Schizosaccharomyces pombe: one gene and its partner. Changing the gene in region 1 together with any one later gene gives a genetic interaction. Each region holds a gene or a part of one and is shown in the gene's direction. Other genes may lie near its edges.

Region 1 (7,779 bases):
AAATAAATAATGCGACATGAATGCATAGCAATCCGATGATCTAAGGATGTTAGCACTGTTTAAGAATTAAACTTAAATCCCGCTTGCTTTTTCTAGTTGATAAAAACGGATAGCTTAAAATTCACGTACCTCAATTATATTTTTTGAACTTAAAGCTTCTACGCATAAATATAATATAAAGAAGCATGCAAAAATAAATAGCGTTAATGAAATAGGCAAACTGTCAATTCCAAGATTCTTTAGCAATTCCACAGTACGGAATTGTCCGATACAATATCCTTCAAAACATATTATCAAAAGGCATTCTAGTATAATTACTGTCAAAAAAAAAAATTGATGTTTTTGGAAGTGTCTTCAAGAATAATTTACATCGGCTAAAAGCTTCATAAGTTGTTTCTCTAAAATTTGTAACAGACTGTTCAATTCGATGTTTAAAATCCCAAAACATTCAATTTGGCCGGGTGTGGTAGTGCCTTTAATGTATAGTGCACTCGGATAAACACGTAAATATCACAAGCTAATGTATAAGCGATGACAATTACATAACAGTTTTATGAATTGCGATTTTAACAGAATTATTCAAGTTTTGTTTAAATGATTATTAGATATTGCAATAAAATATCTCGAGTATACTTAGCTAGAGCTGGATGACTCGTCAGTCTTTATCTCACTGAGGTACGTTATAATGATCAACTTGAAAGTGAAGCGTATCAAATTAAAAACAAAAAAAAAGCCATTAACGGAGGCCCTTCAAACTTCAAGCAACTAATTTTGTTAAGTTGTCAAGTTTATGAAAACTCTAAGGATATATTGCTTATAAAAAATAGGAAGGAGAAAACCAGGCAGAACCTGTTTATTTACAAAACGATATAGTAAGAATGAACTAAAGCTCATTAAAAGAAACCAAATATCCTAAAAATTAAACGCATCCGCTCTTTTCGCACTTTAATCTATTCGTTTTAAGCTAAACAACTCGAACAATTATCGAGCTTTCATGCACTTATGCCTAATTGAAGTTTCAATGATTTGACGTATTTTTCGTTGCTTTCTAACAGCGAAAAAATTCACTGGCTCAATCACAATTTTCCACTGTATCTCCTTAATTTATCTTTTATACAGTCAATATGGCTTGGTGCCTCATTATTTTAATTTTCTGTGGAAACTAGCGATTTATATCTTCAAATGTTTGAAAAGATAGGAAATCAATTATAGTAACAAAACAATTCTCTCTCTCTAGATTTATATATGGACAAATAATTGACTCAGTGAATGGATAAAAGGTTTTACAATTATCTAGCGGTTTTGTGATCTTTTTATTTAGGTTTAAGTTAAGCGAAAGCTTACGTTAAGAATTAAGCAGAAGTTGTAATAATACTGCTTTACACAAATTTAGTTTTAGTATTTGAATTCTAGCGTAAAAATAACACAAATACTTTTATTAAAACTTCCTGTTCAGTAAAAATTTGATTTATCCGACTGAAGTCTATTAACTATCGTTTCAAAGATTAACTATTTTTATATGATTACTGTGTATACTGGATATTACTAGCGCAGTTATCAAGCAAAAAGATTAAGAAAATCAAGTTTTATACTTTTTTAAAATCTTTTAACCCTAGAGGCTGCTAGCATCTGTTATCCATACGAAATAATCCTTAATGTTAATACAGATATGATTTTTATCACCTTATTAACATTAATGATGTAGCGAAATGTGGCTGTAGTCAGGAAGCTTTGACGTTAAGAATCAAATTTGTATAATTTACTGACCCAATGTACACAAGTGTTATATGACTTTCCATCTTACCGTTACATCAATGCAGAAATCTGAATATTGTTTGTAAATAATAAATTCATTAGCACAACTACTTTTCTGGGTAGCGTACAAAGATTTATATGGTTTTTGAAGTTAGTCCCCAAATCGACACTTGCACATAAGCTTTTGCATCCACCAGTAGGGGCATAACGAAATATTAAAATAAATATCTTACAAGTTTTAGCTTCATAAATTAAAGGTTAGATAAAAAACTCGGAAATTTTTAAATTCTTTAGCTTTCCTATGGAGTATTCTGAAGAGGGATGGATGGATCAAGCTGACAGCTTTCCGCCTCGTTTATTGGCAATATTTTTTGCATTATTTGATCCCTTACAAGGCCCTATAGTAGCTTGTGAAGCTCCTGCTGGATCGGTAACAAATGTTGATGGTGGAAAGAACTGTCTTTTACCATTCGAAACTATTTCTGACTATGTGATTCCGAAACGCGAACTTTGCAACAAAACAATTACTGTTTGTACTAATCATTATCAAGTCATTGGACATCCAATATCAATTATAGGTAGCAATTATGAGAGAAATGCTTTGATTTTCAACATGTGTATGATTTTTCATGAAGAAGAAGATTCAGCATGTTATATACCACTAGTAAAGCGACTAGCGAGAAATTTAGAGGTCTTAGAAAAGCAAATTCATTATATATCTGATTTGAACAAAAGACCTGTAATTTTCAGCGTAATTGAGCAAATTTTGGAGGACATGAACAACTTTTGTGAGTGTATGATACAGCTAGGTATGCGCAATTATTTCATTCGGACTTTAACTAACTTTCTAAGACGACCAAAATTCTATTAATATCAAGCTTTTTCCCGTTTTTCCTTCTCCTCCTACTGTTAAAAGTTTTCATGTACCAATTTTAACGGCTCAGTTGGATTTACTCATGGACAAAAATTGGGATATGACTGTTCAAAAGGTACTCTCTTCCAAAAAAATTAAAATTGACTAATTTTTTAGGTTTATCCTTTTATTAATGGCATAAACTCAGTTCAAAGGATTGCTGAATTAGCTAATGTTAGCTATAGAAGTTGTCAAAAATGCATGGAACACTTTCTATATTACGGTTGTCTAATTATAGCTGATATTTTTCAATTCCATAATATTTATGCTATGACTACTAATGCTCCTAACCTTTTACAAGACCCAGATTTTCAAAGAGAATGTACGGCATATGTATCAACTAACAGCTCTAATGCGAAAAACGTTACTTTTGCTACTATTTTCAAACTGTATTGTAGTTTAAGGCAAGGACTTCGTGTTAAGGATTGGATGAACGAGAACAAAGAAATTTTCAAAGGTTTAGACGTTCGAAGGCTAATCTCGTTCGGTACTATAAAAGGGCTAATATATCGTGTGCATAAATACCCATACTTAGAACGAAGGACTATGAGGAATAACTTAACCGAAGAAGAGAAAAAACTGCTTGGTTTGCTGGATGGAAAGCACCATTTTGATGAATTGTGTGTCACATTGAAAAAGTCTCCAAAGGTTGTTAATGAAATGATTGCTGGATTGGGTGATGCCTGTTTTATTTATGTATGAATAAAAAAAATAGTCTTGCGATTAGTCTTGTTATTTTTTCGGATGATCGGAGCTATAGTCGTTTTAATTTATCTTCATTGCGAGTTCTGCTGTCAATTTCAAAATTGTCAAGTATAGGATTGGAATACATTAGCATCATATTTATGACTATGAATAAATTTGAAGATATTATCAAAACACTGCAATTTACAATGGTTGATTATCTGTAAATTGGCCTGTTAGGGAAAACGATTGTAATTGTGCCTTTTGTTTATACGCTGAAACTTAAGAATCTAAATTTTGGTTATCGCGTACCTAATTAGAAGTATTTAACACTTTATTTTCGTCATTTATTTGTTTTACTACAAAGAATTATTTATTCTACAAGATTACCATGAAAATTGAATTTCATCAATACATCAGTAAACATCGACTACTGTATGTCCATTGATCATAAATTCATAAATGTTAATAGTAGATTTTATTTCTATTTTACTTTATTGTTCAAAAATTCCGTAAATATGGCGCAACAAAAAAAGATCCTCAGCTTAATGGAGAGTATATTTGGTACATACTTGCAAGCATTATTAATACGTTGTTTATAATAGCACTTCAACTGCTAACGCGCATTTTCCGACTTGTTTATGCCATTGCATGGCTGTATTGCAGCTTAACGTATCCATAATAGCGAGTACGAAATTTGAAATCAGAAGAGGATGTTTATATTTTACTAAGCATAACGTAACGCGAAGGACCGTCGTAAATTTACTATATATATCTGCTGCATTGAAATTAATCCTCTGAGTATATTCACAATGTCAAAGCGTATGGAAATAAAAATGAAATTAAATACTAACGTTTATTAGATCATCCTGATTTAGTATTATGCAGAAGACAACCAGGAATTACTGTTGGAAAGTGTAAGTGTAAAGTGTTCTATAATTTGGCATAGTTAAATAATTGGCAGATTCTAATACTCATGAATATACAGTATGTGAACGATGTGACGAAAAATGCCCTATTTGTGATTCTCATGTAAGGCCGACAACGTTGGTGAGAATATGTGATGAATGCGCGTTTGGTAGCTCACAAGACCGATGCATTATTTGTGGAGCTCCAGGTGTTTCTGATTGTTATTATTGTTCGGAATGCACACGTATGGAATATGATCGTGATGGTTGCCCTCGTGTTATAAATCTTGGTTCCAGTCGGACGGATTGGTTTTATGAACGGAAAAAGTAAGTTAACAATTTGCATCGCATACTCACCATTTTTAGGTTTAAAAATGCTGGAAAAGAAATGCCGGGTGCAACGTATTAATAGTACATCTAATGGTAGACTTGTTTCCTAATTCCACTAATTTCCGGTTATGGTATTTATATTATGTTTGGTGCTTTTTCATTATTTTCAATTTATAACTTACTATGCTATTGATTGTTTGCAGCATTATTTAATTTTTGGGTATTAATATACGAAAACAAAAAAATTTTTATAACTCGTATTCGCTGAAAAGCAAAGAAAAATAGTTTATACTCTTTTTCGTCTTTCTACATGCGGTGCAGAATTATTTCGAAATGTAGTACGACATTTATCAATGAACTAAAAATTGTTATTAGAAGTTAATTAGACTCATGTTTATTCATTATCCACCTATTCCTTTAGTCTTCTGTTTTGTGGATCATCTCATAATCCAAGTAGCTCGACGGATAAAATATATAATTAACATAAACGCTTAAATTTTTCCACATATTTAAGAATTGCCATAATACATCAAAATCGCTACCAAATGTTACGCTCTTCAATTAATGTTCTTAAAGCATCGTAACTACAGCAATGTGTACTTTCGAACGGCTAAGAGAGATAAAATTTATTATTATGGATTTAGAGATAATTAATAAATAAAGCGGGAATCCTTGTCTATACGCGGATATGAATTCAAATAAGAAAAATCAAAAAAAAAAAGAGAAATCACTTTAGATGAACAAATATTTAGATAATAGTAGTTAACATTTGATATACATGCTAATTATCAGAAGTAGCAGAATGCCATTTCGATAGGCTATTCATACTAAACTCATCATGTTCCTTATATGGATCCGTGCGAAAATCTTCTGATGAGTACAGGTTCAAAGCAAACCCGCTATCTGTATCGTCCGAAAATGTTTGCCATTGATCTAAACATGTAGTCACGGAACCTAAGCTAGCTGTGTCAGCTAATTCATCATCAAAGGCTTCAATTTGAAGCCTCAATTGGCTGGGTTTACCGGGCGAGCTTTCGCTTGTATCTTCAAAACCAAAAATATCTTCGACAGGCTCATCTTTAACATTGTCCGAGTAAACCTTTGGTGAAAGTATTTCAGGAGTAAAAAATGTCGATGAGGGGTTTTCGGGGTTGCCTTTCAAGTTGAAATTATTATCAGGATCCAAAAGATGCGGTACATCTCTATCTGATGATTCTTTTTCAACATCATGTGTTTGACGATTGATTGAGTTGATGCTCGGATTTTTTAGGGTGCTTGGGCTTGTCGAAGAAGGTCTGTCGTCGATGTCATTAGAACTTTCAAGAGAAATGCATTTATCTAAATCAGATTCAAACCGCAATACTTGCAATTGTGACTCCATTTTTCTGATTTCCAAATATAATGATTGCGCTTTAGCATCGACCTTTTTAAGGGCTTGTAAAATAACTACTCTTGTTTTCGGCTGTAGGGGTGCACATGTCGATAAATTTTTGGCATTTCTTTGTAATACCATGAGTTTCTTATTGAACTCAGTAATAGATGTTTCAAGTTGGTCAATACGTGTCTTAATTGTCCGGGCACGTGCAATTTCCATATCCTGTTTCATTTGAGCTTCAATTGCTGCTAATTCTTCCTCCATATACTTTGGATAGCAAGAAAAGTCTCTTTTAGGATGGTAAGAATCACTTACAGGCATTCGCAGACCAGCTGTACGAAGTGTTGAGATGTAGTTAATTTTAGCTACCCATTCTATCATGCTTTCTTCTGTTGGAGCACAAAGAGTCTCTTCAGATCCATCCCGAAATATGACGGTAAAAGAACAATTGCGTACATTCTTCTTATCTCTGTCACAATAGGCAAACGCATTAACAAGCGAATAACTGGTATCGGGGGAAAACTCTTCTAGAGGTGGAGTAAATACAAGCGGAGGAATTTTTGGAAATTCATATTCCATAGCCTCTGTATCTATACCTTGCAACGTGTCAAAACTGCTCGAGGTAGTTGTAAAATTTTTGTAACGCCTTTCATAAGCTTTCTTTTGAGCCATGAGATCTTTAGCCCATACCAAATTACGAAAAAAAAGTATTCTAGAAGCGGTCAACAAAACCAAATGCTCTTTGTATGAATTGTGCCCCACACTTCTTCGCTTCTTTTCACACCGTGGTAAAATGCCCAGCATACTGATACTAAAATCAACTAGTCCCGGGTCAGCATTGTCTGGTAATCCAATAAAATGATTGGAGAATGCCATTGGATGAGATCTTTTAGAAACAAGCTGAATTATCGCAGGGCTGGAAATCAACTTTCTAACGTTCAGCAAAGACGCAATATCTTTGATACCTGGAGATATGAATTTTCCATCATAAGAGAGAGATATTTCAGGCCGTGAAATATTCAATTGATTTTCTAACGTAAATGTGTAAGGAGAAAGCCCTAACCTTTTACGAGATGTGAAATTGTACTTTTCGTTCTTTTCCTTCTCAATGAGAAGCAACTCATCATCCAGGTTGACAAAAGGAGTAAAGGTAATATTGTCATAATAATACTCCATTATCTCCGGAGCTAATTCATCTATGTCACAGAGATTTATGAATTCCTGCTTCGTCATTTTATGCTTATTATTTGAATTAAAAACGTCAGTGTGGAGCATCATCAAAGAAAACACCAGAATGTAACACTGATCTTGGGAACTGAACATCCCAGGGTTACATTCAAAATAGCGCTTAGAGAATGCATTGATGACACGATCAATCTGTTGAGTTTCCTTAGGAAGGTGAGATTTAAGTAAAAATAACCGCAAGCAAAAATCCAACGGCCGATTTTCAAACTCCATTCCCGACATACAAAGGTGCAGAGCTTTGTTCAATGTTACATGATCCTTTTCTGCTAGAACAGGGATCATACGACTATAAGGAACTGTCTCTCTAAGCTTTGAGAGATAACTCTCCGCAGTATCATCTGCTGTGAGCTCCGGAACAGAAGAAAGAAACTTGGTCGGATTAGGCTTAATATCAGAAAATAAAGCCGAATTTTCAATAGTCTGAGCTACGCATTCGTCATCATCCCGGCGCAAAGTTCGAAAACTAAAAATACTAGAACGGTTTTCTCTCAATCTTTCTAAAGTCCTTTGGGTAGGAATCGTAGAACTACGAGGCCGTGACCGAGAGCTTTGTGGCTGTGGTTGTTCAA
Region 2 (5,885 bases), on another chromosome or scaffold:
GACGGTCTTCGCTCTTTATTCAGCAAAGAACGTATGGAATAGAAAGAATTTGTACTAAATGTGTCACCATAAGTGCGAAGCTTTAGGGTTTTTACATTATAAGACAAGTTAGATTTTTGTTTTAAAGGTGGCATTTAGAATATAGACAGATGAAGTTAAAGGGCGCAGCTCGTTTTCCTTGGCACTTTTTTACACTCATCTCAGTACTTGTATTATCTTCTCAAAGCAGCTTGGTAGTACAATTTTCTTGGATATTATCCCTATCTGATAAAATAAAGTTTCGCTAATAATTAAGCGAAGACTTACAACTTTGACGAAGCAGCACACAGAACTAAACCAGTAGATCATAGTGACTATAAAAGCAAATCTACTTAAAGAGGCTGAGAAATTGCCATCGTGAGTTTATTTATTTTCAGCTATATTCTTCAATGTAAATTTAAGTATTTATTGAGAAAAATTTAAGAAAGTTAAGTTGTTCGTTATAACGTACAGCAGCTACGAAAGGATATTTATACTACTGTCTCGCAAATAAACATTCTAGCAACTCATTAACATCATAACTTGTGTTGGAATAGTAGACAACTATGATGAATAAAATAAAATAAAAAGGGCAAGTTAGAAATCAGAAATTTATGCTTAATGTTTCATTTGGATTTTCGTTATTTCCAATGTATTCTGAATATACTCATACTTAAACACATATTGTTATATGTTATATTTGTTACATCAGGGGGATCGATATATCATATACTCCACAGTATAGCTAATTTATTTGTAACCCTTTTTGAAGAAATATTTATTTGGTATTGAGAATTAAATTAAATTTAAAGATTTACTATATCATAGCCTATTTACTCAATCTGTTCAAATGTTGCTTTCGCAAACATATTTTTATCAGTCACAATATAATGAAATACACATTTGATTTAAAACAATTTCAAAAAAAAAAAAAGGATGTTGATTAGAATGAAAGAAAAAAAATAAGATTTATATATTTTCAAAACAAAAAAGGTGTAGATATCAATAATAAGAAGACTTAAAATTCTAATAGATCTCGTAACGATCAGTTATTTTAAATTTATAAAATTAAACCACAGTGTATTGTTTTAGAATATATGAATTTAATACTTTCGCTCAACGATTTCTTGATCGATCAACTAAATATGTAATAATATTAATTAAAAAAAAATAAAAAAAATTTGAGATTTTTTCTTTCCTCTTGCTATGAATCACGAAATTTTCTGTATGAACAGAATAGCAATCAACTGGCTTCTCAGACACTTCATAAAACTCGAAATTGTGTCTTCAGGGTTATCGGAATAAATATTATGATTCATAAGCTCTATTGTTAGCTTAAAATTGAATTTGTTATTAATCTAACATATTTGTAAATGGGTTTATGAAGTATTTGAATTTGAGATCTTATTATTACGAATTTAAAATCCAAAGATAATTAAGAAATTAATCAATGGCTTATAAAGTATAGAAAATTAAAGACTAAATTATCAAAGCATTTTTATTTTTAATTTTTTTTAGCGCTCTCATTTAAGACAAACTTTTACTAATACTCCAATTATGAATGATGGTTATTTTGCATACTTATTAAATGATGTACATATTTTTATAAATTAATAAGTCTAATAGAAGATAATTAATTACCTCTTTCCATCTCTTGGTCTTCCTTATTGAGCTAGCACATTACCTCATTCTCTTCAACTACGATTTACTAACTACTCAGGTTGAAAGGGTTTTTTGAACATTGTTCGTAAAAGGAAATTTTAAAAATATTTTGAGACAGCATTTTTGTGTTTCTCAATTATTAAGATTAATAATAAGCATCACGAAACTTTGAGGTGTTAGCTTACATTAACAATTCTGGGGTTCTAATCCTTATAATAATTTGGGCTGGCCTATATCAAATTGTCTAATTTGAAGATTTAAATTCTTTAAATAATTTTATTTTTACTTTCTCCCTCGTTTTAAGTATGAAAATTGTTGTTTTAGGTGGTTCAGGCTTTTTAGGGCATAATATTTGCAAATTAGCCATTGCTAAGGGTTACGAGGTGGTTTCAGTATCCCGAAGAGGAGCTGGAGGATTGCATAACAAAGAACCATGGATGGATGATGTTGAATGGGAGACGTTGGATGCTCAAAAAGATCCAAATTCATTACTTCCTGTTCTTCGTGATGCCTCGGCAGTGGTGAACAGTGTTGGTATCCTTATGGAAAATAACTATAAAAAGATTTTACAGAATCCCAGAGGACCAGTTTCGCATTTAATCAATAGTCTTAGCTCTAACATGTTTAAAACTGGCCAAAACCCTTTAGCACCTAAACCTGAAGAAGCAAAGCAATCTAAAAATAAAGTTACATTTGAAGCAATCAATCGAGATTTAGCTATTGAAACAGCTAAGATTGCCGCCAAAGCTAATGTCCCTGTGTATTGCTATGTGTCTGCTCATGCAGCGGCTCCCGGGTTGGATCCCCGCTACATAAAAACGAAACGTGAAGCTGAAAGGGAAATATCTAAAATTTCAAACCTTCGTTCTATATTTCTCCGTCCTGGTTTTATGTATAACTTTAATGATCGTCCTTTCACAGGCGCCCTTGCGTCTCTTTTTACTGTCTCATCCAGCATCAATCGAGCAACCTCTGGTGCTTTAAATTTCCTCGGAACCGCTTCGGCTGAACCCCTTCCTTCTGAGGAAGTTGCTTTGGCTGCTTTGGAGGCTATTTCTGATCCCAGTGTCAAGGGTCCTGTGGAAATTTCCGAATTAAAATCTATGGCTCATAAGTTTAAGCAAAAATCTCTATGATTCTCTTGTTAAAAGTAAATTACACATCATAAGTTTATGAAAATGAATGATTGGGTTATGTGTAATGAATTTTGACCAGTCTTAATTATATCTACCTGAATACGTCTTTATACTTTCAAGTTAAAATATGATTGCTAAACAAAGAGAAAAAGTATCGTCTAATTTAAATTCTCTGCTCAATATTTACATCATTTGAACTACTGTTATCTAAGTCGTAGAATCTTTTCCAACTATAATTGCCAAATTTGCTTCCTGACTGTATTTATTAACTAGAAAATTAAAACAAGTTATTTCAAAAAATTAGAAAGAAAGCTCTTTTCCCATGTTAACTCGAGCTATATTTGCTTCGATATATCAGCTGTTGTAGTAACCATACATTTTACCTTATTATACACCTCGCACTACCTATATCAAACGCACGCATTCGAAAGGTCCTCGGTGAATTAAAGAATTAAGAAGATAGAGAAGTTCATAATCCTTTTAATTTACTTATTCAAATTGGACTTACAGTCGTAAATTATTTATGGAGCTGGGTGCTTGGAGATCTATTCTCTATATTGCGTTCCTGTTCGCGATTACGCGCCATGCCTTTTGTAAAGCAGTTAACTTGGTGCATTCACCAGAAGGAGAAGAGTTCGAAAATATTTTGAGCTCTGTTTCTGCTACAGTTGAGAAGAAAGAAGTCAACAATAAATTAATAATGCCGACAGCTAATCGCGACAACCAAGGAGTAAGAGAAGAACTTTTAGTTTCTAGTTTTAAAGAAAGAAAGCTGTTGAACACCAATTCAGCCAATTTGCGGCTAAATAGTATTGGCTCATACGAAATGATCGACTTCAAACAGATTAATTCCGAATTTTTCTTGTCTCATCGTCAACATGGGTTTGTATTATTTATCGATTCTAAAAAAAAACCACGACAATCATTTTACACCGACTCGGCTACTTCTATTGTGCAATTGTCCAAAAAATATAGGAACAAAATAAAATTCAAGAGCGTGGATTGTGCCTCATCTTTAGAAAAATGCGAAGAAATTGGGATCAATTCTTTTCCTTCTCTTGTTTATTATAACAATGCCGGGCAAAAAAAAGTTTTTACGGCTCATACTCCTTACGAAGTGTTATCAAAGCACGCTGATCTAATAACTGAGCTAGACGAAACAGACGGAAAGGTTTATCCGCAAAGCATAATTCGTTTAGAAGAGTTCAAAAATCTAAAAGCTAATGAGCCTGTTTTTTTCTTATACTTGCACGATTATGGATCTACTCCTGAAGATTTCGACTCCTTACGCATTTTTGCTAGATATTTGGTAGGATTTGCTCCTCTCTATCGCACGGATGACGAAAAAGTAATTAAGACATTAAATGTCACACGTCTTCCACACTTAGTCGCCATACGCCATGGCGTTGCTTTCTCCTACTCTGAACGCTCTGTTTCAGCGATGCGAAACACTTTTCAACTCATCAAATGGGCATCTTTGCTAAAATATCCTCTCGTTCCCGAATTAACCCCAGCTGTTGTTGAAAACTTGGACTCTGATTCATATTTAGCTATTGCTCTAATCAATCCCACGAGCCAAGTCAAGGCATCTAAGGCTATTTCTACAGTTCAGGAGATTGGCCTCAAGTGGACATTGAAGCTTCGCGAAGTGGAAAGGAAGCAATTACTTACTGCTCGTGAAAAATGGTGGGATCATCTACGGATGTTAAAACAAAAAGGTTACGACGACGTAGCTTTTTTAGCCGCCGAATATTCATTACCCCTTCCTAAGAATAAGAAGGTTACATTTGTATGGGTTAATTCCTTACAGTGGAAAACCTGGATTTCTCATACGTTTCATATAGACCCAATGGGTCCTTCTCGATTCGTCTTGATGGATCCCTCTCGCATGTTTTATTGGGATTCCTCGGCTAAAGGGTTACCTCTCACACTCGATGATTCATCCCTAATTCTCGACACCACTTTTCGGGTATTAGCAATAACAGGAGAGGGCCTACCTCACGAATTTTCTATACCTAGAGGATATGTATACCTAAGTGAAATTAAACAGTACTCATCTTTAATTTTAATTTCGTTGTGGATTAGTCTAATTTTGTTTGTGTCTTTCTTAAACCGGCGGCTTATTCTTCATTATTCTTTCGAATCTGTTCATCAGTTAAAAACGTTAACGAGAAAATTCATTTATAGCTCTTTGTTAAAGCAAGATTAAAGGTATTGATTCTTTGTTATAGGATTTACTAGTTCATTACTATTCCTACAAGCTTCTCTAAACGTCAAATTTTAACAACTATCTATTTTATTTAGAGATGCATTTTTGATCTCTTATTATTCCTTTCTTTGTTATTGCGAATTTCTTAATTAATAATCATTAATACTTGCTGGAAATTCACAAAATCTTCTTTTTAAATTTTCATGTGCTCATGTTGCTTAGAATTCTTTCAAATGTCCTTTGCGTTGTCTGTGACTCTTTATTTTTCAAGCTCAAACATGTTAATTAGAAACTATTGCTTCTAATTTGCCTGTTAAAAAAATTTGTCAGCCTTTCCCTATGGCACTAAATAGTTAGAAACTACTACTTTTCTGTATATATACTAAAATGAGATATATATTTAAACATATTAAGAGATTTCTTGCTATAAATGTCGAAAATATATTAATCTTGACAGATCTTGGATTTTTAGATTAACCTTTTACATGTAAAAGTAAGGTAAAGTAACTCATCCTTAGCATTCATGAGTTCTCTTGGAAAACTTCTGAAACTTACCCTTTTGGGGATATTACTCTCTTTTTCTTGTAAATTCGTATTCGGTTATTTTAATGTAAATCAATTATTTGATCATGAATTCATTAAAGTTTTTCCCAATTTCAAAGGAAACGTTGAAGCAAAAATTAAATATCCGACCGTAGTATATGCTATTGGGGATATTCATGGAGACTTTCCAAATGCTTTAGATGTACTATCTGCAGCAGGCGTTGTATCTCCTGTTTTTCCTCATGAATGGACTGCTGGTAATGCTACACTGGTTCAAACCGGAGATGTCGTCGATCGCGGCCCAGATACACGGAAAC

Evidence for each region. A genetic interaction does not mean that the proteins touch.
Region 2: mutations in ini1 (region 1) and coq11 together harm fitness more than expected from each alone (negative genetic interaction), as found in Schizosaccharomyces pombe (one large-scale study listed by BioGRID).

The regions. Positions count from the first base shown.
Region 1 is NC_003424.3:2,491,704-2,499,482, reverse strand, and holds ini1 (RING finger-like protein Ini1), read left to right. Parts: upstream 1-4,151; 5' UTR 4,152-4,164; coding exon 4,165-4,174; intron 4,175-4,215; coding exon 4,216-4,269; exon of another isoform or gene 4,270-4,340; coding exon 4,341-4,587; exon of another isoform or gene 4,588-4,626; coding exon 4,627-4,669; 3' UTR 4,670-5,081; downstream 5,082-7,779. Other genes in the region: Npr2/3 complex subunit Npr2, read left to right, coding at 2,057-2,564, 2,608-2,744, 2,786-3,370; guanyl-nucleotide exchange factor Sec73, read right to left, coding at 5,372-7,779. UniProt on the Schizosaccharomyces pombe protein: Required for pre-mRNA splicing.
Region 2 is NC_003421.2:2,271,299-2,277,183, reverse strand, and holds coq11 (ubiquinone biosynthesis protein Coq11), read left to right. Parts: upstream 1-1,714; 5' UTR 1,715-1,985; coding exon 1,986-2,816; 3' UTR 2,817-3,017; downstream 3,018-5,885. Other genes in the region: pdi5 (protein disulfide isomerase), read left to right, coding at 3,340-5,025; SPOM_SPCC1840.07C (phosphoprotein phosphatase), read left to right, coding at 5,549-5,885. UniProt on the Schizosaccharomyces pombe protein: Acts in the coenzyme Q biosynthetic pathway.